Ovis aries: one gene and its partners. The protein of the gene in region 2 interacts with the protein of the main gene of each other region in a pairwise test. Links are inferred from orthologs where the notes say so. Each region holds a gene or a part of one and is shown on either strand. Other genes may lie near its edges. The genes, in order: WASHC3, SYCE1, BFSP2 and LMNA.

Region 1 (5,430 bases), on a different chromosome or scaffold from region 2:
AAATTAATCTCAATCTGTACAATTAGATGTTCTACTGTGAGTAATGATAAGATCTGAACCATGAAATTAAAGGTGCAGAAAAATCAGTATGCAAACCTTGGGTCTTTGACTCATATATAGATTGGAGATTGCAATGAATGGATGACTTAAAAAAAAGTTCATGATTATCTTTTAACTGATAAGCAAGTTGACTGTAATGTCAATGGAAATTCTGTGTTAAGCAATACTTCAGTCCATTTCAAAATATTTTATATAAAATATACCAATTAAAAACAATGGAGAGAAATAAAGAGTTGATTTCAATATTAAGAACATACTGAACAGTTATATTAAGCCAATCAATACACAACTTTACCATATTTTTTAAATTCAGGAAGCCAACAGTACTTCATAAATCCTCCAATGAATTAATAACTATTTTTCAATAAAATTGCCAGAATATCAAGTAATTCTGAATTTTAGATATTCAGTTGTGATTAATCAATTTTTTGAGACTTTAAATAGGCAAGACCAACACAATTGTACAAGTTTTAAATACATATTATATATGGGCGTGCACAGTAACACCTGGAAAAGTTAATACTGAAAGTCAGATATCATTTTATAAATTTATAGAAATATAATAATGGCTAGTATCCACCAAAGAATACCTACTAGGTAGAATGGAAACATGTAATAGCTTTTACATATGCCTTGTTTTAGAAAAAGGATGGTTTATCTTTAATTGATAAAACCTTGTAAAGTTAAAACTCCTCTAAACATTTGAATTTATTTTTGTATATTATATATATTCCAGTGATCATCACAATGGAATTTGTTATATTAATTAAATGGATGTTAAATTTTCTAATACCTAATTGTTAAGTAAAGCGAAGTGAAGCAAAAGTCATTCAGTCATGTCTGACTCTTTGTAACCCCATAGACCTCTCTAGGCCAGAGAAGTCCATGGAAATCTCTAGGCCAGAATTCTGGAGTGGGTAGCCTTTCCCATCTCCAGGAGATCTTCCCAACCCAGGAATCAAACTGGGGTCTCCTGCACTGCAGGTGGATTCTTTACAACTGAGCTATCAGGGAAGGCCTAACTGTTAAGTAAACAGTCATCTAATTCATCCACCGAATATACAATATTTCTAAATTATAGCTCCTCCCACACAGAGCCTTGGACCACATGTGCTCAGTTGCTCAGTTGTGGCCGACTTTTTGTGATCCCATGGACTATAGCCCGCCAGACTCCTCTGTCCATGAAATTTTCCATGCAAGAATATGGAGTGAGTTATGTTTTATGAATTCAACACAGGTGCTAGAGACAGTGCAGTGTAGGAGATAAGAGATAGGATTCTTGACACCAGATTGTTTGGGTAAAAATTCTAGTTCTTACATTTATTGTCTGACCTTCAACAAGTTAACCTCTGTGTATCTCATTTGATATACCTGTAAAGTATTAATAGAACTTATAAAAGTATTTACTTCATAGGGCTGTTGTGAGAATTAAATGAGTTAATTTATAAAAAGCACTTAACACACCACATATACAGTCAGAAACCTTTACATGGGAGGTATTACAATCACAGTCAACATCATAATGATCTAAAAGATATCCCATAAAAAGTACCTCCAGGTACAAATGCAAAATTCCATATACATAGGAAGTCTGTTTGTTTGGTATTACTTGTTAGACCACCATTTTTGATTATCTTATTTTGGATTTTAATACCTCACTGAGATATACTAGCAATTATTCTACAATGAAGAATTTTTATTTCTTGAAATAAAAAGTAATACACAATTTAAATTTTTACAGTGCATAAATGAACATTAAAACATAAGAGCCAAACATAGAGTGCAGGCCTTACAAGGACGCTGATTTGAACAAATCAACTCCCCAAACACACTCTTTGAGACAAGTGGTATTTCTTAGATTAGGACCTCTCAAATTTCAAGAGCCTTCAAATCACATACGGATCTTATTAAAATGAAAATTCTGACTCAGTGGGTCTGGGGTGGAACCTGAGATTCTGTATTTCTAACAAGTTCTCAGGTAGGTTGCTGGCCCATGGAGCAGAGTTTTGGTAACAAAGAGTTAGATATTATCAGGGAATTATTGCTCATTATATTGTATATGATGAAGGCATTGTGGTTATACACGAAAATGTCAGAACTTTTCATAGATGCTCAGGGAATTATACATGGGTGAAAAGATATGATGCCTGGAATTCACTTCAGTGACAAAAAAAGACAGATGAAGCAATGCAACAAAATCTCAACTGGTGAATCCAGGTAACGGGCACTTGGTTAGTCATTGAACTATTCTATTTTTATTCATGTGTGAAAATGTCATACTAAAACATTTAAAAGACACATTTCTTACAAGAACCAAGAAAAAAATTTCCAGAGGGAACTTGAAGAAAGTAGTTATAGTCAAGATTATTCCTAGTCCTGTATAGGTCAAATTTCTGTTTTATAGGCAAGAAAAATATTAACTTCAGGAAACTGTTCAGAATAATAAAATGAAAAGCTAATAACTTTTTTCAAACTGTATTTTTTATCTTAAAGTTTAAAATATTATTAATCAAGTGCTATATTTTTATTTAGCTTCTTTATTTGAACCTGCAGATTTGGTCTATCTGGTTCACCCAAGAAGAGGTGCTCATGCTTCCCGGAACTTAATTACATACCTGTGATTGCTCTGAAGTGGCTTCAGAATGTGTTCCATTTGTGATCCTAGTGACATTTACAGGAGATACTTCAAATGTGACATCATCTAGGCCCGGGATAGATGATAACTGAGAGGAGAAAATTAATGTTGGTATATGAGGATAATATTAGATCTTTAAAGAGTAAGTTTCTAAGTATGTGTTGTGTTTCAAATAGTTTTCTTAAGTTTTAAAGCTATAGAAGTGGTTTCATAAAATCTCATCTTTGGTTGAAATTCTCCATGCCATAAACTACTTAAAAGTGAAAGGGATTGACAAATAAAATATTTTTGAAGAATTTTTCACTAATCTAATTTAGGTTGTCACCATTCTTTCTCAGGAATTATTATTTTTTTAATAAGGAATCCTGGTGTAAGGAATGAGAGCATGGGCTTTGGAGTCAGATTGCCAAGGTTTAAGTCACAACATATGTTGCTGCTGCTGCTGCTAAGTCGCTTCAGTCATGTCCGACTCTGTGCGACCCCATAGATGGCAGCCCACCAGGCTTCCCCATCCCTGAGATTCTCCAGGCAAGAACACTGGAGTGGATTGCCACTTCCTTCTCCAATGCATGAAAGTAAAAAGTGAAAGTGAAGTCGCTCAGTCGTGCCCGACTCTTGGCGACCCCATGGACTGCAGCCTACCAGGCTCCTCTGTCCATGGATTTTCCAGGCAAGAGTACTGGAGTGGGGTGCCACTGCCTTCTCCGACAACATATGTAACCCTGTGCAAATCTTCCTAGGCCTCAATTTTCTCACCTGTACAGTGGGGGATAAGAAAACTTACATCCCAAATTTGTAAAAAGATTTTGATTAAATATATTTTGTTCCCCTTCAAAATGTGCTCTGTAGCACATTTTAAGTTTGAATAATCTGGGAAATGAGAAAACTCTTGCCACATGTTAACATATGATGCAGCTTATTCTTTTCTTCTTTCTTTAGTAATATCACTTTATGTTACTACAATGTGTTAGTTTCCATACATAAAAAATGAGCATGATGTCAGTGGTTAAGCATTTTAGGTTGGATTTCCAAGATCCATGCAAACATTCTTTTCTGATTTCATTCTGGTATCAGTGACACACATCTGTCAAATGTTTGGCTAACTTTAAGGAATTAACTCTATGGTCATGGAAATAATTAAGGTTAACCTGTCCACATGGCAACTTAACTTGTGACCGTGGACTCTAACTTAAGAATTCCACAAACATTAAAATAATATACATATTCATAATAAAGAATAATGAAAAAAACAATGGCAATAAGATCTAAAGCAACAATATTCATTGAAAACTGTTGACTGATGACAGTATTTAGCACATTGGCTATGGCCCTAATAGTTTCAAGTGGGTATGGCTGCTAAGAAACTATTTTGAACATGTTCAAGGCCAAATATCCTAAATTACAAGCTAAAGAAATGTTCCGAGGGAAATACAGTAGCTGAAGACCACAGGAAGATGTAAAAGCATAAATCAGACATTCTGATCCCTATGCTAGAAGATATTAGTAATTTCACTTCCTTCAGTTCAGTTCAGTCACTCAGTCGTGTCCAACTCTTGGCAAGCCCATGGATTATAAATAGTCAATAAATATTTTTTCAGGTCAGTTTTTTTTGATAACAGAACAAAGTCACAAAAATATATTAGCATCTCCATTATTTTATATACAAGAAAAGCACACAAAACCTGCAAGCTTTCAAACTGAAACAACCTTCTATTTTTGCTTTTATATGACAGTTACCTTTTGTGATATCTGACATCAGAACTGGTACTACTCACTAGCATTTAATATATTTACAAATGGAAAATAGCTGAGATTTTCTCCAAATTTTGTTCTGGAGACATGTAAAGTTTTACAGAACTTTTTCCTGTGTTATCAATGACTACTATTAAGATAATTGTGAGTTTTCCATTAAATGAAGCAAACTATACAACATTCAATTTGTTAACATGTTACTCATTATGTTTCTGATTAAATAATGAAAGAAACCTTGACCCACGTGTATATTTAAACAGACTCAGTTACTGGTTCATAATGAAGATTATTTCCTTTGCAATTATAATAAATTAAACAAATGAAAGCACTGCACCACATCATGGATGCAGGAGCTAAATTGAATTCATTCCTAAATACAATTAAAGTTAAATGCAACTGAGAAAGTTGCTATATGTACAGCAAGTTTATCCTATAAATTATTCAGAAATACAAACCTTTGCATCTAAAATATTGAGAGTTGTTTCAATTTGCTGGATTCGAAGAGAAAGGTCTGCTAGTTTCTGAAAAAGAAAGAGTAGAAACAAAAGGATAAAGTTAAAAACTATGGTTAAAATATTTGTGATTTTCTAAGATACTACTCTCTTATTTACAAGAGTAAGAATTGAAACTCAAGTATTCAATTATCTTTATTAGGATGTTTCATGGTTATTTTATAAAACTGTATTCATAGAGAAGCTGTTACATTTTCAGTCTTATGAAACTCATTATCAGAGCCACAATCAATCACTGGGACCAGAATGTAAACTCCTCTGAAGACAGAGTTTTTTATTCACTGTTATACCCCTTGTGACCAGAGCAGTACTTGACACTTAACAGAAGCCTGATAATTACTTGTTGCTGAATGAAGGAATTCTTCATAGAACACAGGATTAAAAACTAGCCCCAAACAGAAAGGAGCAGGGTCTGCCTTTGTATATCACTTAAACACAGAAATATATACAACTAGTCCCAAATTCAAACTT
Region 2 (6,190 bases):
TTCTTTTTATCTTGTTAGTTGTTCACTCACTAAGCCATATCCGACTCTTTCTGGCCTCTTAGACTGCAGCACATCAGGCTCCGGTCCTCCACTATGACCCGGAGTTTGCTCAAACTCTTGTCCATTGAGTCGGTGATGCCATCCAACCATCTCATCCTCTGCTGCCCCCTTTTCCTTTTGCCTGCTTTATTTCCCAGGATCAAGGTCTTTTTCAATGAGTCACCTCTTTCCATCTGGTGGCCAAAATACTGGAGCCTCAGCTTTAGCATCAGACTTTTCAGTGACTATTCAGGGTTGATTAACATTGTATAGGAGGATTCTCTTGTCTCCACACCCTCTCCAGCACTTATTATTTGTAGATTTTTTTTCATGCATGTCATTCTGATCATTGTGAGGTGATACCTTAGTGTAGTTTTGGTCTGCATTTCTGTAATAATTAGCAATGTTGAGCATCTCTTCCTGTGCATATGTTCTTTTGTATATGCTTAAACCTTTCCATAATAAAAAGGTTTTAAAAAATCACCCAAACAACCAATCAAAAGAGAGAAGGTAAGTAATCATTTCTACAGAAGAATGGAAAAATGAAGAAAACAGGCAAGCAAAAACTACACTAATGGTTAATAATATCTGAAAAGATGTATAACCTTAGTCATAATTAAAAAGGTGAAAATGACATGTTGTATCTAGCAGCTCGGTAAAGCTGAGTAAGTCTGATAATGCCTTGTGTTTATTACAATGCAGAGAAACAGGCACTAATGCACACTGACGGACTGTGAAAACTAATGGAAACTTTTGGAGGACAGGTTGGCTACATCAACATTTTCAAGACAAAATTTCACTTCTATGAATTTCCCCATCAGATATGCTTGGTTACATATCTATGTCAAAAATGGGAAACTTGAATGCCCAGCAGTAGAGAACTTATGATTCAAGCTCACAAGAGAATACTGTGCAGTCATTGAAAAGGAGGTAGATTTATGTGTAATAACAATGAAAGAGAACCTAGATAGACTGAAAGAAAAGAAAGGACAAAACAGTACAATATAGAATCCCATCTGGCTGCAGAGAGAGGTGAAAAAAATATTTTGTCTGTCTAAAAATATATGTGTCTTATTTCTAGAAAATTTCTGGCTCAAGTCACACAAAAATATTTTCAACAGTAGTTCTTCTGGAGAGTAGAAGTGGAAGGATAGGTAAGAGAATGTTTACTTTTCACTGTATACTTCTGCATATGGTTTTACGTTTAAATGTTGACCAAAATGACCCAAAAATGAATTTATAGTTTTCTTGAGCAATCATTTGTCCAGGTATTATTAATAGACTAGGCAGTGAGCTGCACCTTTATTTTTTTCTTTATTGCATATTAAAAGGTAAGGCACAGAGTGGGAAAGCAGAATATATCTGTTGAACAAGTCAACTAATATATTGTTAATAAAAAAAATCAAGGGTACCACTGCCTATGTTATTATATGAGCCCCCTTTTTTACTTATTTTAAAAAATTTCAAATTTACTTAAAAGTTGCAGAAATAGAACACACAGCTCTATATGCCATTCACCCCAGTTTTACATTTGCTAATAATCATAAACTTTAAGAATAAGTTGCAGATACAATTCGTCATTGCCCTCAAATACCCCAGTGTGAAGTTCTGAAGTACAAGGACATGCTCCTGTGTAGTAACAACAGTACAACAATTAAAACAGAGACTAGCAGTGAGAGATATTAACATGTGATCATCAAGTGGTACTTTAAAAATGTCTCCTACTTTCACTTTTATAAATTAAAAGTTCCACAAGTATCAGTTACATAGTCCTAGTAGAAAAAAACAAATATTAAGGTTAAAAACGTTCCTTCACCTTTGCATTGCCCTTAGAAACTAGATTGGAGAAGGCAATGGCAATCCACTCCAGCACTCTTCCCTGGAAAAGCTCATGGACAGAGGAGCCTGGTGGGCTGCAGTCCTTAGGGTTGCCAAGAGTCGGACACGACTGAGTGGCTTCACTTTCCCTTTTCACTTTTATGCACTGGAGAAGGAAATGGCAACCCACTCCAGTGTTCTGGCCTGGAGAATCCTGGGGATGGGGGAGCCTGGGGGGCTGCCGTCTATGGGGTCACACAGAATTGGACACGACTGAAGCGACTGAGCAGCAGCAGAAACTAGATCCCTCCATCAGAGTCATCAATTAGGAAAGCAGCCTCCAGACATCTTTCTGTGCAAACTACACAGTATTGCAATTTTTCTATCTTGCTTTACTCTCATAAAAATGTTTTGAAGATCATATTGTATCTGTATGTCTAATACTTTCAACGTTGACTTGGTTAAGTGTATTTTAATTCTACTTCCTCTTCATTTTAGAAATCCACTGCACAGGTATATCCCAGTGTGCATGGGATTTAGCTATTCCCTTCCCAAGTTTTCCTACCACCATTTAAGCTCCAGTCACTATCCGATCCATGCATCTATGTATGTCTTGGGTGATCCTATAGGAATGTGACCCAAAAGGGGAAAAGATAATTAAAATGTTAAAATTTGTGCCAGAAGGACTACTGCAAAGCCTTCACCCTTTCTTCCTCTCGTCAGAGTATGACATGGTCTGTATCTTTACACCACCGTTAGGGCTAGATAGCACCACTGCCCCCTTTTTAGAAAAAACCCAGTAGACTGAGAATGGAACCTTGATGTCTCATTTTCTCTCACTGCTGTAGGATGAATGTTTGTGTCCCTCCATTTTTCATTTGTTGACATCCTAAAGTCTGATGAGATGGTATCAGAGGGTGGGGCCTATGGGAGGTGATTAGGTCATGAGGCTAGAGCCCTAATGAATGAGATTAGCACCTTATAAGAGACCCCAGAGAGCTCCCTTGCCCATTCTGCTGACACAGATGGACATCTAAGATTCAAGAAACTGGTCCTCACCACAGGCAAGAAATGGTGTTTCACCAGTTATAAGACACTGGTGAAGTCAACTGCATCTAAATATGCAAGCTTAATGAACTTGAAACAAAGATACTAAGAGGTTTCTTTAGCACAGTGGCGAACACAGTAGGTGCTTAAGAAAAGAGATCTATATACATCTGTTCTGTTTTTCTTTTTGTTCTTAGCTGAGGATTGTTACTGAATGCCACTCCTCCCTGCTCCAAGCAAGCTTTCTGTGCTAAGTTTATTTCAGTATTTAAACCTTCATTTTATTTATTAAAGAAAAGCCACAAAGCACCTGTCATGTACCAAAACTGCACTACTGCCTGCAGCTGCGACGGACATGGCCAAGACGGGTTCATGAGAGCATCTCAACACGGGGAGACAGGGAGGCCACGCAGAGCAGAGGCAAGCTGAGGGATGCGTGTTCCTTGCACAGTTCTCTCCCCTTTTGTGTTAACACCCAGGAGCATGTCCTTCGGGGGTGGACAAGCCTGGGAATATTTTTTATCTTTCTTCTCTCTGCTAGGCTGTTATTTCAGAAAACTTTATAACTGTAATGAGCTGCCATGCCTCTCCTTTCCCGGTGAGGTGGGAGCCACTGTTCAATAGGTCAGAGTCAGGAAGAAAAAAAACGTAACGCTCTGCGGGGCGGTCTGGATCCTGGTTTGGGGGAGGGGGAATCTACTGTTGAGGACCATCATGGAACAACAGGGAAATTCAGGGGTTCGGTGCTGTGAGATGAGAGAAATGGGACAGACTCCTTCCCTCGGGTGACACGGGCCGAGAACAAGTCCCTTTCTGTTGCAGGAGATGCCTGTGGGACGCTCAGGATCAGACTGAAAGGATGCCCTCTGCCTACTTTAACCTACTCAAGCACAGCAGATGGGGCCAAAGGAAGTGAGTGCACGTGGGGCACGGGCCTTCTGTGAGTCCACCCGGCAGAGCCGCCAAGATCCTTCCCATGGGGCTGATGGCCATTTTTCCTCACGCCCGCCCCGACTCTGAGGAAGAGGCGCCCGCGTGCGCTCCCTGCCTGCCCAGCCCTCAACAGCCGTGGTCGGGGCCGCCGCCAGGCCCAGCTCTACCTCTGGCCTCGTCAGTCGGGCCCACGGCTCCCGCCGCTTCCGCACTCGACGATCCCGGCCGCCCAGCCATGTCCTCTCAGCTCGCCGGCGCCGGCGCCTCCTCTGGGATTGGACGGAAGCCGCGCCAGGGGCGGGGCGTCCTCAGCACGCCTGCGCAGTGCACCTCTGCGCCGTACGTACCCTCCTTCCAGCCGGCAGCTGGGGTGGCGGTTGGGCAAGCGGCGGTGCGCGCGCTTGAGTCCACCCAGAACAGATTCCGTGCAGAGCAGGTGTGGGGGGCGCGCACGGATCTTCCAGGCTGGCGATTGGCTGGTTGAGGAGCTGGCGACCTGCTAATGACAGAGGTCTCACGAGGGACTGCCCCATGTGGCGTCGCCCACCTTGCGAGGAGGGCACCTGAACCTGGTGGTGGGGAGCCGAGTCTCTGCACATGTTGAGAGGTTGGCAGTTAACCCAAGGACTCTGGCTTTCTGGATGGAGGCCATAAATTGCCCTCCCCACCCCCTTATTGCAAAATTCAGACTTAAATTGAAGAAAGTCGGGAAAACCACTAGACCATTCAGCTATGAGCTCAATTGGATCCCTTACGATTATGCAGTGGAAGTAACAAATAGATTCAAGGGGTTAGATCTGATAGAGTGCCTGAAGAACTGTGGACAGAGGTTCCTGACATTGTACAGGAGGCAGTGATCAAGACCATCTCCAAGAAAAAGAAATGCAAAAGGGAAAAGTGGTTGTCTGAGAGGCTTTACAAATAGCTGAGAAAAGAAGAGAAGCAAAAGGCAAAGGAGAATAGAAAAGATATACCCCTCTGAATGCAGAGTTCCAAAGAATAGCAAGGAGAGATAAGAAAGCCTTCCTCAGGGATCAATGCAAAGAAATAGAGGAAAACAACAGAATGGGAAAGACTAGAGATCTCTTCAAGAAAATTAGAGATACCAAGGGGACATTTCATGCAAAGATGGGCTCGATAAAGGACAGAAATGGTATGGCCCTAACAGAAGCAGAAGATATTAAGAAGGTGACAAGAATACACAGAAGAACTATACAAAAAAGATTTCTATGACCCAGATAATCATGATGGTGTGATTACTCACCTAGAGCCAGAAATCCTGGATTCTGAAGTCAAGTGGGCCTTAGGAAGCATCGCTATCAACAAAGTGAGTCGAGGTGATGGAATTCCAGCTGAGCTATTTCTAATCCTAAAAGACGATGCTGTTAAAGTGCTGCATTCAATATGCCAGCAAATTTGGAAAACTCAACAGTGGCCACAGGACTGGAAAAGGTCAGCTTTCGTTCCAATCCAAAAGAAAGACAATGCCAAAGAATGTTCAAACTACTGTACAATTGCACTCATCTCACATGCTAGCAAAGTAATGCTCAAAATTTTCCAAGTGAGGCTTCAACAGTACGTGAACTGAGAACTTCCAAATGTTCAAGCTGGATTTAGAAAAGGCAGAGAAACCAGATATCAAGTTGTCAACATCTGCTGGATCTTAGCAAAAGCAAGAGAGTTCCAGAAAAACATTGACTTCTGCTTTATTGACTATGCCAAAGCGTTTGACTGTGTGGAACACAACAAACTGAAAAATTCTTCAGAGAAGGAAATACCAGACCACCTAATCTGCCTCCTGAGAAATGTGTATGCAGGTCAGGAAGCAACAGTTAGAACTGGACATTGAACAACAGACTGGTTCCGAAGAGGGAAAGGAGTACGTCAAGGCTGTATATTGTCACCCTGCTCATTTAGCTTATATGCAGAGTACATCATGGGAAATGCTGGGCTGGATGAAGCACAAGCTGGAATCAAGATTGCTGGGAGAAATATCAATAACCTCAGATATGCAGATGACACCACCCTTATGGTGGAAAGCAAAGAGGAACTGAGGAGCTTTTTGATGAAAGTGAAAGAGGAGAGTGAAAAGCTAGCTTAAAACTCAACATTCAGAAAAGTAAGATCATGGCATCCAGTCCTATCACTTCATGGCAAATAAATGGGGACACAATGCAAACAGTGACAGACTTTATTCTCTTGGGCTCCAAAATCACTGCAGATGGTGGCTGCCTTCCTTGGAAGAAAAGCTATGACCAACCTAGGCAGCATATTAAAAAGCAGAGACATTACTTTGCTGACAAAAGTCTGTCTAGATAAAGCCATGGTTTTTACAGTGGTCATGAATGGATGT
Region 3 (5,430 bases), on a different chromosome or scaffold from region 2:
TGGGAAATGCGCAGCCATTCAGATCCAGAAGTACCTCATTCTGATGGCCGGCCTTCTGAGGCTCTCCAGCTGTGTTTAAGTTAGGGATTTAGATCATGGCTGGGGAACAAAAATTCACCATAATAAGTAAAAAAGAAAAGCAGAGCCCAGTGAACGGGCATTCTATAAAGTTGGCTGCACACTCTTCTGGGGAGGCCCTGGTACCCGTGGCTTCAGTCACGGGCACCCCTGGGTGTGCAGCTATGGAGGGGATTGGTGCTTTCTGAAATGCAGCTGTAGGTGGTGTCTTGACTATTTCTGTGCTTCAGACAACAAAGGGAATCATGCAAATATGCCATGCAAACTAAATAGCTGTCCTGCCCACCTGACTTAGTAATACAATTCCTTTGATCCTGGGAGCCAAAAGGGAAACCAGTTGGAGTGATTTCAACCAGGCGATCCCCCATGTCTTATCTCACTTCTCTTTCTAACTTTCTTAAAGGTAAATAAGATTCCATTTGTTTATGTTGACCTTGGCTATTTGGAAGCCCAGGAACTGAAGGAGGGGGTCTTCAAATGTGCCCATGTTGGACACACTGCCCTGTCTGGATTAGCTGCTTATGTGAGGACAGAGACTCAGCTTGGATCATTTTTTAACTTTGGTCTGTAATTCTGTGTGACAGGTGTGCTGATAGGAGCTTGGGGGAGGAATTAAGAAATTAAGTCTGGGCTGTGTGTGTGTGTGGTTTTGGAGGCACTGAGAGCCTGTGCTAGGACACAGGTGGTGGTTTCAGTTTTAATCAGAAGGCAGGGGCGTCTCGAATGGGTAGGCAGCAGATTCATGAACTATATTTGGCTGGCCTGAGCCCTGAGAGGGCTGGGGAAGGACCCTGGAAGAATGTTCTGAGGCTGCAAGTGTAGGCAGCCACAATCACAACCTAATTCGTCTCCCACAGATTTAAACTGAAGTTCCCTTTAAACTGATTGAGAGAGGTGCTCTGCCAACAGCAGTGAAATGTGGGTGTCTGCGTATAACTATTCATGCAGAGCACACTAAAGACACCTGAATGCTCTGTGATCACGCTACATGCTGACCCCCTCTAGCAAGAATATTGTTTTTTCCCCCCAATGGTGGCAATCTGGTATGCTGAGCACAACTCTCACCCCAGAAGCACATTTATGTTGATAAACCCATGAGCAGCTGACCCTTGAATAATGAGGAAGATGGCATCATGCTCCAGGACCCTTCTAGAAGCCTTTAAGAATGGCCCCATGAGGGAAGGCCAGGTAGGTAATGTGATATCCATCTCTATCTGATAGTGGGTTGAACAAGGTGGGCAGACTGGAAGCCACACACAAAGCATTTATTTGAGAGGGGCAAGGGAGGTTGCTCGAGCTACAGACTACTTGAATTGAGGCAGCAGGACCCTCTCCTCTTCCAGGAAGCTTTTCAGCTCAAGCTGAACCAACCAGGAAATCCAGCTTGGGGTGGGGAGTGGGAAGGATGAGGGGAGATGGGGGCTGGGGGTATAAGGGGGTGGGGGTGGGAATTCCTCAGGGAACTTCATTGGTCACTTGGTGAGGAAGCCAGCATTTTCTTCATGAAAAATGGGCATTTCTCCATTAGCTGAAACAAACAAAACCCCAAAAACACATCTGAGTGAGAAAAGCCATGGATGATGAAAATTAGTAAAAACATCACAATAGGATTATAGGAAAGGTAGATGTTTCACAGAAAGAATTTGGCCTTTGGAACAAGACAGTTTGAGTTTCAACTCCTACCTCCATGGTTATTAGCTGTGTGACCTTGGGTAAATGACTTAAGCTGTCTTTGATTTTGTTTCCTGTCTGTAAAATGGGGATAATGATGTGGTTCTGGCAGAGTTTTGAGGGGAAATGAAGATAGCGTAGAGCTTGAGACTGTGCTGGCACATAGCAGGCACTCACTGGATGGAGTTCTTGAAGTAAATTTAACCTGTCTTGTTACTTTTGTGTTTCAGTTATTCATACGCACCTGAAAAAATTAGCGTTGTTACAAACATCTAGCTTTCATAATCAACAGAAATCACTCCAATAAAAAGACAGATGGAAACAGGAGCTGGATGCCATGTTTTTCGTTTGAAAGGAGTGAGTGTTAGGTTGCTTCCTGGCCTTCTCACCTTCTAAGAAGGGGATGGCACAGACCACAGTGAGAGCCAGGACACCTGGGATCCAGCTCTGCCACCCCGTGGGACCATGGGAAAATCTTTTTCTGCTCTGGACTTCTTATTCTCTCTGGAATCATAAGCCATTGTACTACATAATCAACAAGTCATCTCTTAGCCCTGCTATTCTATTTCTCATTCAATGTGTGCCATAGAATGGACCTTGGAGGGCATGAAGATACAGAATTATGATGAAAGAAAGGCTTGAATTTCCTTAAAGAATTGGCAAGGAAGCTGAGCCCCAAGCCTCATGCCTATGCTTCAGGGTGTCCTTACCCATTAAAAAAGTACTGCTAGATGCATATATACGTGCATGGTGTATATGTATATATACCACACATGAATATATGTGTGTTATATAAGTATATGTACCACATAGACACATAAATGTATATATACCACATACACATATATATGTACATTGACTTACACATGTTATTCCCAACCTCTCACCTCTGTCCACTATGGAGGCTGGAAAAGCTAAATAGTTGCTTTCCCAGCTTCCCTTGCAGGTAGGTCTAATCATGTGAGCAGACTCTGGTTAATGAGATAAAAGAGAAAGTCTTTTACGGGTTGCCATTGCCTTCTCCGCATGAGCAGCCTAGCCTACCTCATTTCTGAAACTTTCAGGTGAACATGGTTTATGCCCTTGCTGCTCAAAGTGTGGTCTGTGGACCAGCAGTACAGGCATCACCTGAGAGTTCTGTCAGAAATGCAGAGTCTCAGGTCCTGTCTCAGACTTACAGAAGCAGAATTTGCATTTTTAAAAAGATGCCCAGGCTTGGCATGTTTCAGGAGTGTTGGTTTATAGCTTCATTAATAAGGACTTACTACATACAATGGCACCCCACTCCAGTACCCTTTCCTGGAAAATCCCATCGATGGAGGAGCCTGGTGGGCTGCAGTCCATGGGGTCGCTACAAGTCAGACATGACTGAACGACTTCACTTTCACTTTTCACTTTCAAGCATTGGAAAAGGAAATGGCAACCCACTCCAGTGTTCTTGCCTGGAGAATCCCAGGTATGGGGGAGACTGGTGGGCTGCCGTCTGTGGGGTCACACAGAGTCAGACACGACTGAAGTGACTTAGCAGCAGCAGAAGCAACATGCAGCAGAAAGCATTGCTAACAGCTACCATGTAGTATGAGTTAAGTGTGAACCATATAGGTGTGTCTATAGGTGTGTGTCTATATGTCTGTATACATGAATATATACTGACATCCACACATATATTTATACACACATAAGTATATACTATATATTCATCTATATATTGTGTTGTTTAGTTGCTAAGTTGTGTCTGACTCTTTGCAAACCCATGGACTGTACCCCCAGTCTCCTCTGTCCATGGGATTTTCCAGGCAAGAATTCTGGAGTTGGTTGCCATTTCCTTCTCCAGGAGATCTTGCCCACCCAGGGATCCAACACTTGTCTCCTCCTTGGCAGGTGGATTCTTTACCACTGAGCCACCAGGGAAGACAAAAACTATGTACATATGAATGGAAAAATCCTGGGAGGACAGTCAGGCTGTGGGAGTTGAGGGGGTGTGCTGGGAGGTGATTTCTCCTTTTTACATTACTTACTTCAATAGTATTTGAGAAAATGTTTAATCGAAACCTATGAGTACCTACCCCTCTCCTAACAAAGCTGAGCAGAGACGCACCTGCTCTCCTCGCGGTCCAGCAGCGCGTGGTAGGATGCCACGTCCCGCTGCAGCTGGCATTTGTGCGACAGCAGGTGCTCCCGGGCCTGCAGCTGCTGCTCCGCCTCCGCGCGCATCTCTCTGAGCTCCGCCTCCAGCCTGCTGACCACCGCTCCCAGGTTCTGCAGCTCGATGTCATGCCAGTGCTTGGCGTCGTGCAGCGTGTTCTCCAGGCCTCGCTTCTACAAGAGAGGGAACGCAGGCCAAGCCTGAGGCCGATGGACAGGCCCTGGGAAGAGGGAAGTGGGCAGAGCAGTGGGAGGGACTGGCCTTGGCCTGGTCTGTCCGTTTCTCCCAGGACGATTACCTTGACCGAAGGAGGTAGCTCATTGGGGAAGTAATGAATCCTCCTGGGGGAGGCCAGAGTCTTGTTTAGTCTAATTCACTGATCCTTCCTATGGGGGCGGAGGTGGAGAGGGAGAGGAGGAAGAAAAAGAGGGGAGGAAGACCAGAAGGGAGGGCCTAGGAGAAAGAATGATGAGAGAAAATAGAGGGAGATGAGTGAGAGAAGGAGAGAGAGGAAAGGAGAGAGAAATACACAGACACACAGACACACACACACACACATGAAAGGAGAGAGAAATACACACACACAAAAGGAGAGAGAAACACACACACACACACAAAAGGAGAGAGAAATACACACACACGAAAGGAGAGAGAAATACACACACACACACACACACAAAAGGAGAGAGAAATACACACACACACGAAAGGAGAGAGAAACACACACACACACACAAAAGGAGAGAGAAATACACACACACGAAAGGAGAGAGAAATACACACACACACACACACACACACAGAGGAGGCAGTCTGTAGGTGTTTCTTCAAAGAAATTTTGCAGTCTTCTCTCTGAACTGCCTCCAAGCCCTTTTGCTCCTGACTGCTCACGCTCTGGGCCCCTTCCTTCCTCTGTGAACCCCTACTTACTGTCCTGCTGGGAGGCTGTCTCCTCCTGCACACTTCCCACATTCCACAGTCAGAAATAGTGTCTCTGGTCTCTATACCCTCGGCGTGTCTTTCCTTAGTGTTTGGGTAGCACACTGTGCTAGTTCTTTCCCAGTGGCCGCTCCGCCCTACCCTTAGCCCGTCTCTCTCTGAGCTGAGCCGCACCGGTTGGTCTCTACCAGACTCACGACTTGGTCACTCCTGTGTTGATGTGTCCAGCACAGATGTCTCCCCACCCATGCAGACTTGCTACTGAGGTTCTTCCTAGAAATATACACAGGTTGTGGGCACCTCAAATCAAGGTGTTCAAAATGAAGCCATTGGCTTCCTTCCAAACCTGCTGGCCCCTCCTTTCCTGTGCTCCAGCTGGTGAACTCAAGAGGAGCTAGAAACCAGGGAAAGATATGCCCCTGACCCTGCTTCCCTCCAAAATTCAATTATCAGAGACCTGCCTCTTGTATATTCTGAAACATTTTCCCATTTGTGCCCCCTCTGCTCCAGCCACCAATACCCTGGATGGATGCTTATCGCCTCTCATCTGGAGGAACCTCCGTGGCCTCCCAGCTCATTTCCTCTGACTGTAGTTC
Region 4 (6,019 bases), on a different chromosome or scaffold from region 2:
ATCGAACTGGCATCTCTTATGTCTCCCACATTGGCAGGCAAGTCCTTTACCACTAGCGCCACCTGGGAAGCCCAAGGTTTAATGGTAGGAGCACTCAAATGAGAGTCAAAAGACGTGTGCTCAAGTCCAGGCCTGTCATTCATTGGCTGTGTGACACGGGACAAGCCTTCGCACCTCTCTGGTTTTCCCTGTTCTTATCCTGATGAGAGCTTGGAAGAACCTGGGCCTGCAGGTCCCTCCGTGTTCTGACTGAGGCCATCATGTAAGGCGGGCAATTCAGGAAGTTGTCGGGCACCCAAGGCCTTGTTCGGGGGAAAGGGATGCTTCTGCTTTGTGGGTCTGGGATCTCCCCACTTCTGACTCAGCCTTCCTCTACCAGTTCCGTTTGGGAAGACACAGACCCTCGCACCAACCCGCAGCCCAAGCCTGTAACTCTGGACTCTGCTTTAGAACTACTTGTGTACACGGTCTGTCAGGAGCCCTGGTTCCAGACCACCACCTAAGGAAGAAGGCAGAAAAGGAGCCCAGGATGCAGTGGGGAGCAGCGAGCAGGGATGCAGACACTCAGGCCCCCACCCCTCCCTTTAAGACATCTGCTGCCTCCACCCTGTCTCTTGCAAAGCCACTGGGGTGGGAGGGAGGGGGGCAGTATCTGAGTCATCCACCCAGCTGTCCTGCCTGGGATGGGGCCTAACTCCAAGCTTCGACCCCAGGCCAGCCTTCTCTGATGCTTTTAACCTCCTCTTTCTTCCCGCGAGTAGGTGTTCAAAACCCCTGGGCTCCAGAATAAAGGATGTGAGTCTGTGTTTGCAGGCAGGAGCAGTGTTTCTGCTTGGAGCCTGTAACCCAGTCTGATGAGAGGGGGCCCCAAAGCCCTGGGTGTGGTCAAGGTACCCAGGCTGGGCCAGGAATCGCCACAAAACCTTACAGACAGCTCTGCATCCCAACCCAAAGCCTGGCCCTGAACTCTGAGCTCTAATTAAACATTAAACCAGACAACACCTTCTCTCTAGGCTTTAGTGGGAGGAGTTAGGACAATGCCTTTCTTCCTCTCCCAAATTCTTCATGGCGTTCTTCACCTCACCCTGAGCAAAGCAGACACAAAAGGGAGCAACAAATCCTTGCTCCTCCCACTGGGGACATAGAAGGGGACAGAAACCTCAAGTGAGCCCTCTTTGTCTCCGCCCAACCTCCTATCAGCCTAGGATCCAGGTGTGCAAAACCACCCCCCCTCTCCCGGAAGCCCAGCACCCCCAGCCAGGATCAGTGGGGGAGAGGAGAGGCAGGCAGCTAAATATAACAAGTACACACACCACCCCCGGCCCTGTCCCACGTGCGCACACACCCGCCTGGTGTCCCAGACCGGGACAGCTGCACCAGGAGGCAGAGACAGACTGGTGTGGCTGGGTTAGCGAGAGACCATAGACTCCACTCGTTCTGTTCCCTGGTCAAAACCTTCCCCAGAAAAAGACCTGCTAAGAATGCCCTTGGCAGGGACCCGCAAGGTAGTAGTTCGGTAGCTGGGTAAGCTAGTTTGGAAGACTAATTCTCTGGGACTCCCCTAGCTTGCCTCTTGTCTGCCCTGTTAACTAAGTTATTCATATCACTAGTGGACAATGACAGGAATGATCCCTTTCAACAGAAATAGTCACTCTGAGTTCCCTGGTGGCCTAATGGTTAGGATTCCTGGCTTTGGATCCCTGGTCTGATCAGGGAACTGACCCCTGGCAAGCCTGGGCTTGGGGGTGCGGGGGGTGGTGGGGGGGAGAGTCACCTGCCTACCCACACCATTTCCATCTACTCTTCACTAGGGGATGATACATCTGCCACACCCACCATGCCAGGGGCTGGGGGCTAGCGAAGGGGTATAAAGAGTAGCAAATTCACAGCGCTTCTGAGAAGAGCATGAGCCTGGAGAAGACGACGCAAAGGGGAAGAAGAGAAGACCAACCACTACAGCCTCAGCCAGGGGTCTCCAAGCACCTTAGTGCTCTCTGGCTGAGGTCTTCTCAGAAAACAAATCCTTGGGGAGCTGAAGAGGGCCTAAACTTCCCAGCTCCAAAGGCCTTTTCAGAGAAGAGGGAGGAGACAAGTAGGGTGCGGTAGGGTGGGGCAGGGATGGGTAAGGTAGGAGGGGCCTGAGTCTTCCAACGGCTGGATTTCAAAAATGTCACAGTATTCCAGGAGTTTAATAAGGCAAAGAACAATAACAAAAAAAATGTCCCAGTGGCTGAGAGGGCCGGCCAGAGCAGAGGCTGCTAGGCTTGGCCGGGAAAATGAAAGTGGCTCACCCCAAGAAGGGAGGCAGGGAGGGACTAGGCAGAGGGTGAGGGTGGGGAGATGGGGAAGGGGAGGTACAGACCTGGGCATACATAACACAACTTCCTGAGCCGGGAGCCTCTGCCCTCCGTCTCCCTCCCTCCCTTGCATTCCTGGGCCAAGCAGGCCAAGGGCTGTGGGAGCTGCGGGGGAGCGGCTCTCCTAGAGTTGATCGGTGGGCCTGTCAGAGGCCAGGGGAAGTCCCAGACATGCAGGGAGTAAAGGAGCACTTCAAAACTCTTAACAAGAGCCTGGGAAAGGGTTGTGCAGTGGGGGCCATCGCTGTGCCCCTGCAGGGGGAAAAGGGGGTCACCCGGCTTTGGTGACCTCTCTCTGGCACCACTAGACATCTCCCAGCCTAGGAGCTCTGTTTTAGTGGGAGTCATGTCTTCAGAGACAGGCTGGGCAAGGTTGGCACGGTGCCAAGGCTGCCAAGAAAGTTCCAACAGGACCCTCTCACCCACTCCTAAGTGTCTTGGGCGCCTAGATGTCTTAGACCTGGCAAGGCCAGTTCGGCTTTGCTCAAGGCCCTCTCTCAGGCCCCAAATGACTGGCAAATCCCACCCTGACAGATTGCGGGCCTGCCACCAGCTCCTACTTGGCCCTGATGAACCCCGCCATTCCTTATATACCCCACCCTCTCCCAGAGACCTCTCCCTTCTCAGTCCTGTCTTGACAATTTCCCTTGGCACTGCCAGGCACTCGCTGGGGGCAGTTCCGGGAGGGAGGAAACTATACGGCAACGTTACCAACGGCCTGGAGCCCAGGCAGGGGCGGCAGTCCCTCTGCCCTCACTGCCCCTCCCGGCCCCACGCCGCCACCTGGGGCACTCACCGCGCCTTGAGCTCCTTGAACTCCTCTCGCACTTTGCTCAGCTCCAGCTGCAGGCGGGCGCGCTCCTTGGCCACCGAGTCGAGGGTCTTGCGGGCATCCCCCAGCTCGGCTTCGTAGGCGGCCTTTATGCCAGACACCTCGCGGCTGACCACCTCCTCAGACTCAGTGATGCGAAGGCGCAGACCTGCATTCTCCGTTTCCAGCGAGCGCACCCGGTCGATGTAGACAGCCAAGCGGTCATTGAGCTCCTGTAGGTCCTCCTTCTCCTGCAGCCGGGTGATGCGGGTGGGTGACAGCGGGGTGGAGCTGGCCTGCGCCCCGCTGCGGGTGGCGCGCCGCTGGGACGGGGTCTCCATGGCCGGCAGGGTGGCAGCACTGCCCGAGGGGCAGAGGTCCCGGGAAGGACGCGGGGCTCAGGCCGAAGGACAGAGACTGCTGGGGTAGGAGCGCGCCGGCCGGCTGGCTCTCGGCTGGCTCCTGGCAGGCTTGTGGATCTGGGCCGGGCGCTGTCAGACCTCTGGATCTCGGTTGGCCGGTGTGGATGCGGAGCTCCCGCGAACACTCTGAGTCACCGGCTCCCGGGCAAAGGCTCTAATAGGTCTAGGGAATGGGAGGAGGGGCCACTCTCTTAAAGGGGCCGTCGCTAACCCACAGGGGTGGGAGAGGGAGGGGTGAGCAGGGGAGACGACAGCCCCGGGGTAGGGCCCCACCCTCCCTCAGGCACCCCCACGTGCCTGGGGCTTCCCTGAAGCTCGTCTCTAGGTCTCTACCTGCTCAGCGATCCAAGCTAAAAGCTTGCCCCCACTGCCTTTGGCCTTAGAGGGGGAAATGGGCAGAGCCAAGGGGTGAGGCTGGGTGGGCAAAGGGCAGGGGGAAGAGGGGCAGTAGGCACAAAGCAAGGGAGGGCGCCAGGCAGGCAGATCCAGGAAAGTGGGGGGAGGCTGAGGCTGGTGCCCATGAGGGTGACTCACTCTTCCACCACTGGCCCCCCTTTTCCTCCCCATAGTAATAGTGAGTCACCCCTACTCCCCCACCCCCCACCTCCATGAGTGGGCAGTCCATTCAAAGCCACATCTCAGTATGCCAGGGTGGGGTGGGGAAATATGCCTGGGTTCCCTGGGGTGGTTGGAGGGAGAGCTGCCACAAAGTTCTGGATCCTGAGTTCCTTTTACACCCTCAAATTCAGGGTGGGGACCAGAGTTTGGGGTTATTCTTTTCCTATTTTCTGCCCCAGTTTAATCTCCCTTTGAAATCAACCATTGGATCGTAGACCCAAAGAACAACCCCGAGGCCCCAGAAAAGGTCAAGAATAGGACCCAAGTACTGCCCACCCCATCCCCTTCCTTTGGACCCCAGCAGTCAGAAAAAGAGCCTGCCTGAGGTTCCTCCCAGCTTTGGTCCCTTTCTAGTCCTCAGCCCAGCCCAGCCCAGCCCACCAACCCCAGAACTGTACTTATTTTTTTTTCCAGGACTGTACTTATTTTAATGGATAATTTAAAACAGATACCAGAGCTGTGCATGCGTTCATCACATTGCCAGGACACCAGGTCCCAAATTTTTGTGGTTCCCAAAGGGGCCTGAAAGGGGGAGCAGGGCTGGGGGCTGGACAGCCAATTTTGGGTCTCTATCCTGGTTTCAGCCAGAAAAGGGGGGTGATGGGGGTGAAGACAGCAAAGGCGCCCATAGCCTTGCTGACTGCTGGGCCAGCACCGCACTTATCTCCACATTCCTCTCTGACCAGGTCTGCTTTGCCACTGGCTCCGGGGAGGGGCCAGGCCCTCTCACAAAACAGGATCATCCACGTCCCTGAGCTTCCATCCTCAGGACTCTCGGGAGACCCCTTTAATCAGCCTCCTACTCCCCATTCCCATCCGGGCCCCGGCCCCACCAACCATCTCATCTCATCACCTCTAAGAGGTGGCAGAGGCTGAGGCTCCAGAACCCATGTGCTTTCCTGCCCTGACCCTGGGCCTCTCATGGCTTAGTCTCTGATGAGGAACTGGGGAAATTAAATTATGTTGCTAACTCCTACAGCTCCAGGATATCAGGATACACAGAGAAACAGGGCTGGACAGGTCTTCTGTTCTGGAGCTGGGGCAGGATTAAGGCAGGGACTCTGAGTGTTCAGGGAGAGAAACACTCCCTGAGGGATGGCAGGTTTCCATCTCCAGGGGTTGACTGGGCAGGGTGGTGAGCATCCAGGATACTCAGAGTTGGGGGACCCGCGATATGGTTCCCCTCCCTGCAGCCCCCTCCCTCAGGGTGGGGCACCCACCTTCAGCTTCCCAGACAAAACAGAAAGTCTTTCCCTGTTTCTCCCTCTTGTGTTCCCCAAGTCAGAATGAGAGGTGGGGTGAATGAGCCAGTGAAACGTGAGGGACAGTGGCTGTTCCCACTGCCTCAGCCCCCCTCCAGAGGGCTCTCCGGCCTCTGCCCCACCCAGTCCCTGCCTGGCCTGGCCTGACTTCCCCTCCTGGCTGGGGAGGCAAAATCACACTTAAGCCTTCCTCTCTCAGACCTCCCCATCTTTGGGAAAAGAGGCAGGATAAAGGAGAGGGGATTCTCACCCTAAGTTTCTCTCTTTCCAAAGGGTTCACCACCACCACTACCACAATGGCCTCAGTCCTAAACCTGAACTTCAAAGTGGGCCTTTACCCTAAATATTCAGGCCTAACTCTGAACCCCAGATGTCATCATCTGCTCTTCCCCTGCCAGGGTGTAGATGGTCAGTCCCAGCAAAAGCAGAAGGCAGGGAAGGCCAGGTCCAGAGGAGCGGAGCCTGCTGGGGGTGAGGGCTGGCAAGAGTTGTGTCTGGGTGGAGATCAGTTTCCAATCCTATCTCTCACTTGGCCAGGTGATGACAGGT

What was found.
Region 1: the proteins of SYCE1 (region 2) and WASHC3 interact in binary tests that used the Homo sapiens proteins (3 or more experiments, as listed by UniProt). The two-hybrid records come from large-scale screens. The link is inferred for Ovis aries from reciprocal best matches to the Homo sapiens genes SYCE1 and WASHC3.
Region 3: the proteins of SYCE1 (region 2) and BFSP2 interact in binary tests that used the Homo sapiens proteins (3 or more experiments, as listed by UniProt). The two-hybrid records come from large-scale screens. The link is inferred for Ovis aries from reciprocal best matches to the Homo sapiens genes SYCE1 and BFSP2.
Region 4: the proteins of SYCE1 (region 2) and LMNA interact in binary tests that used the Homo sapiens proteins (3 or more experiments, as listed by UniProt). The link is inferred for Ovis aries from reciprocal best matches to the Homo sapiens genes SYCE1 and LMNA.

What each region holds. Positions count from the first base shown.
Region 1 is NC_056056.1:171,452,709-171,458,138, forward strand, and holds part of WASHC3 (WASH complex subunit 3), read right to left. Parts: intron 4,969-5,430; coding exon 4,903-4,968; intron 2,784-4,902; coding exon 2,676-2,783; intron 1-2,675. UniProt on the Homo sapiens protein: Acts as a component of the WASH core complex that functions as a nucleation-promoting factor (NPF) at the surface of endosomes, where it recruits and activates the Arp2/3 complex to induce actin polymerization, playing a key role in the fission of tubules that serve as transport intermediates during endosome sorting.
Region 2 is NC_056075.1:51,474,764-51,480,953, forward strand, and holds the start of SYCE1 (synaptonemal complex central element protein 1), read right to left. Parts: upstream 4,115-6,190; 5' UTR 4,075-4,114; coding exon 4,005-4,074; intron 1-4,004. UniProt on the Homo sapiens protein: Major component of the transverse central element of synaptonemal complexes (SCS), formed between homologous chromosomes during meiotic prophase. Requires SYCP1 in order to be incorporated into the central element.
Region 3 is NC_056054.1:256,588,077-256,593,506, forward strand, and holds the end of BFSP2 (phakinin), read right to left. Parts: intron 4,069-5,430; coding exon 3,848-4,068; intron 1,607-3,847; coding exon 1,603-1,606; 3' UTR 1,323-1,602; downstream 1-1,322.
Region 4 is NC_056054.1:106,135,017-106,141,035, reverse strand, and holds the start of LMNA (lamin), read right to left. Parts: upstream 3,719-6,019; 5' UTR 3,510-3,718; coding exon 3,154-3,509; intron 1-3,153.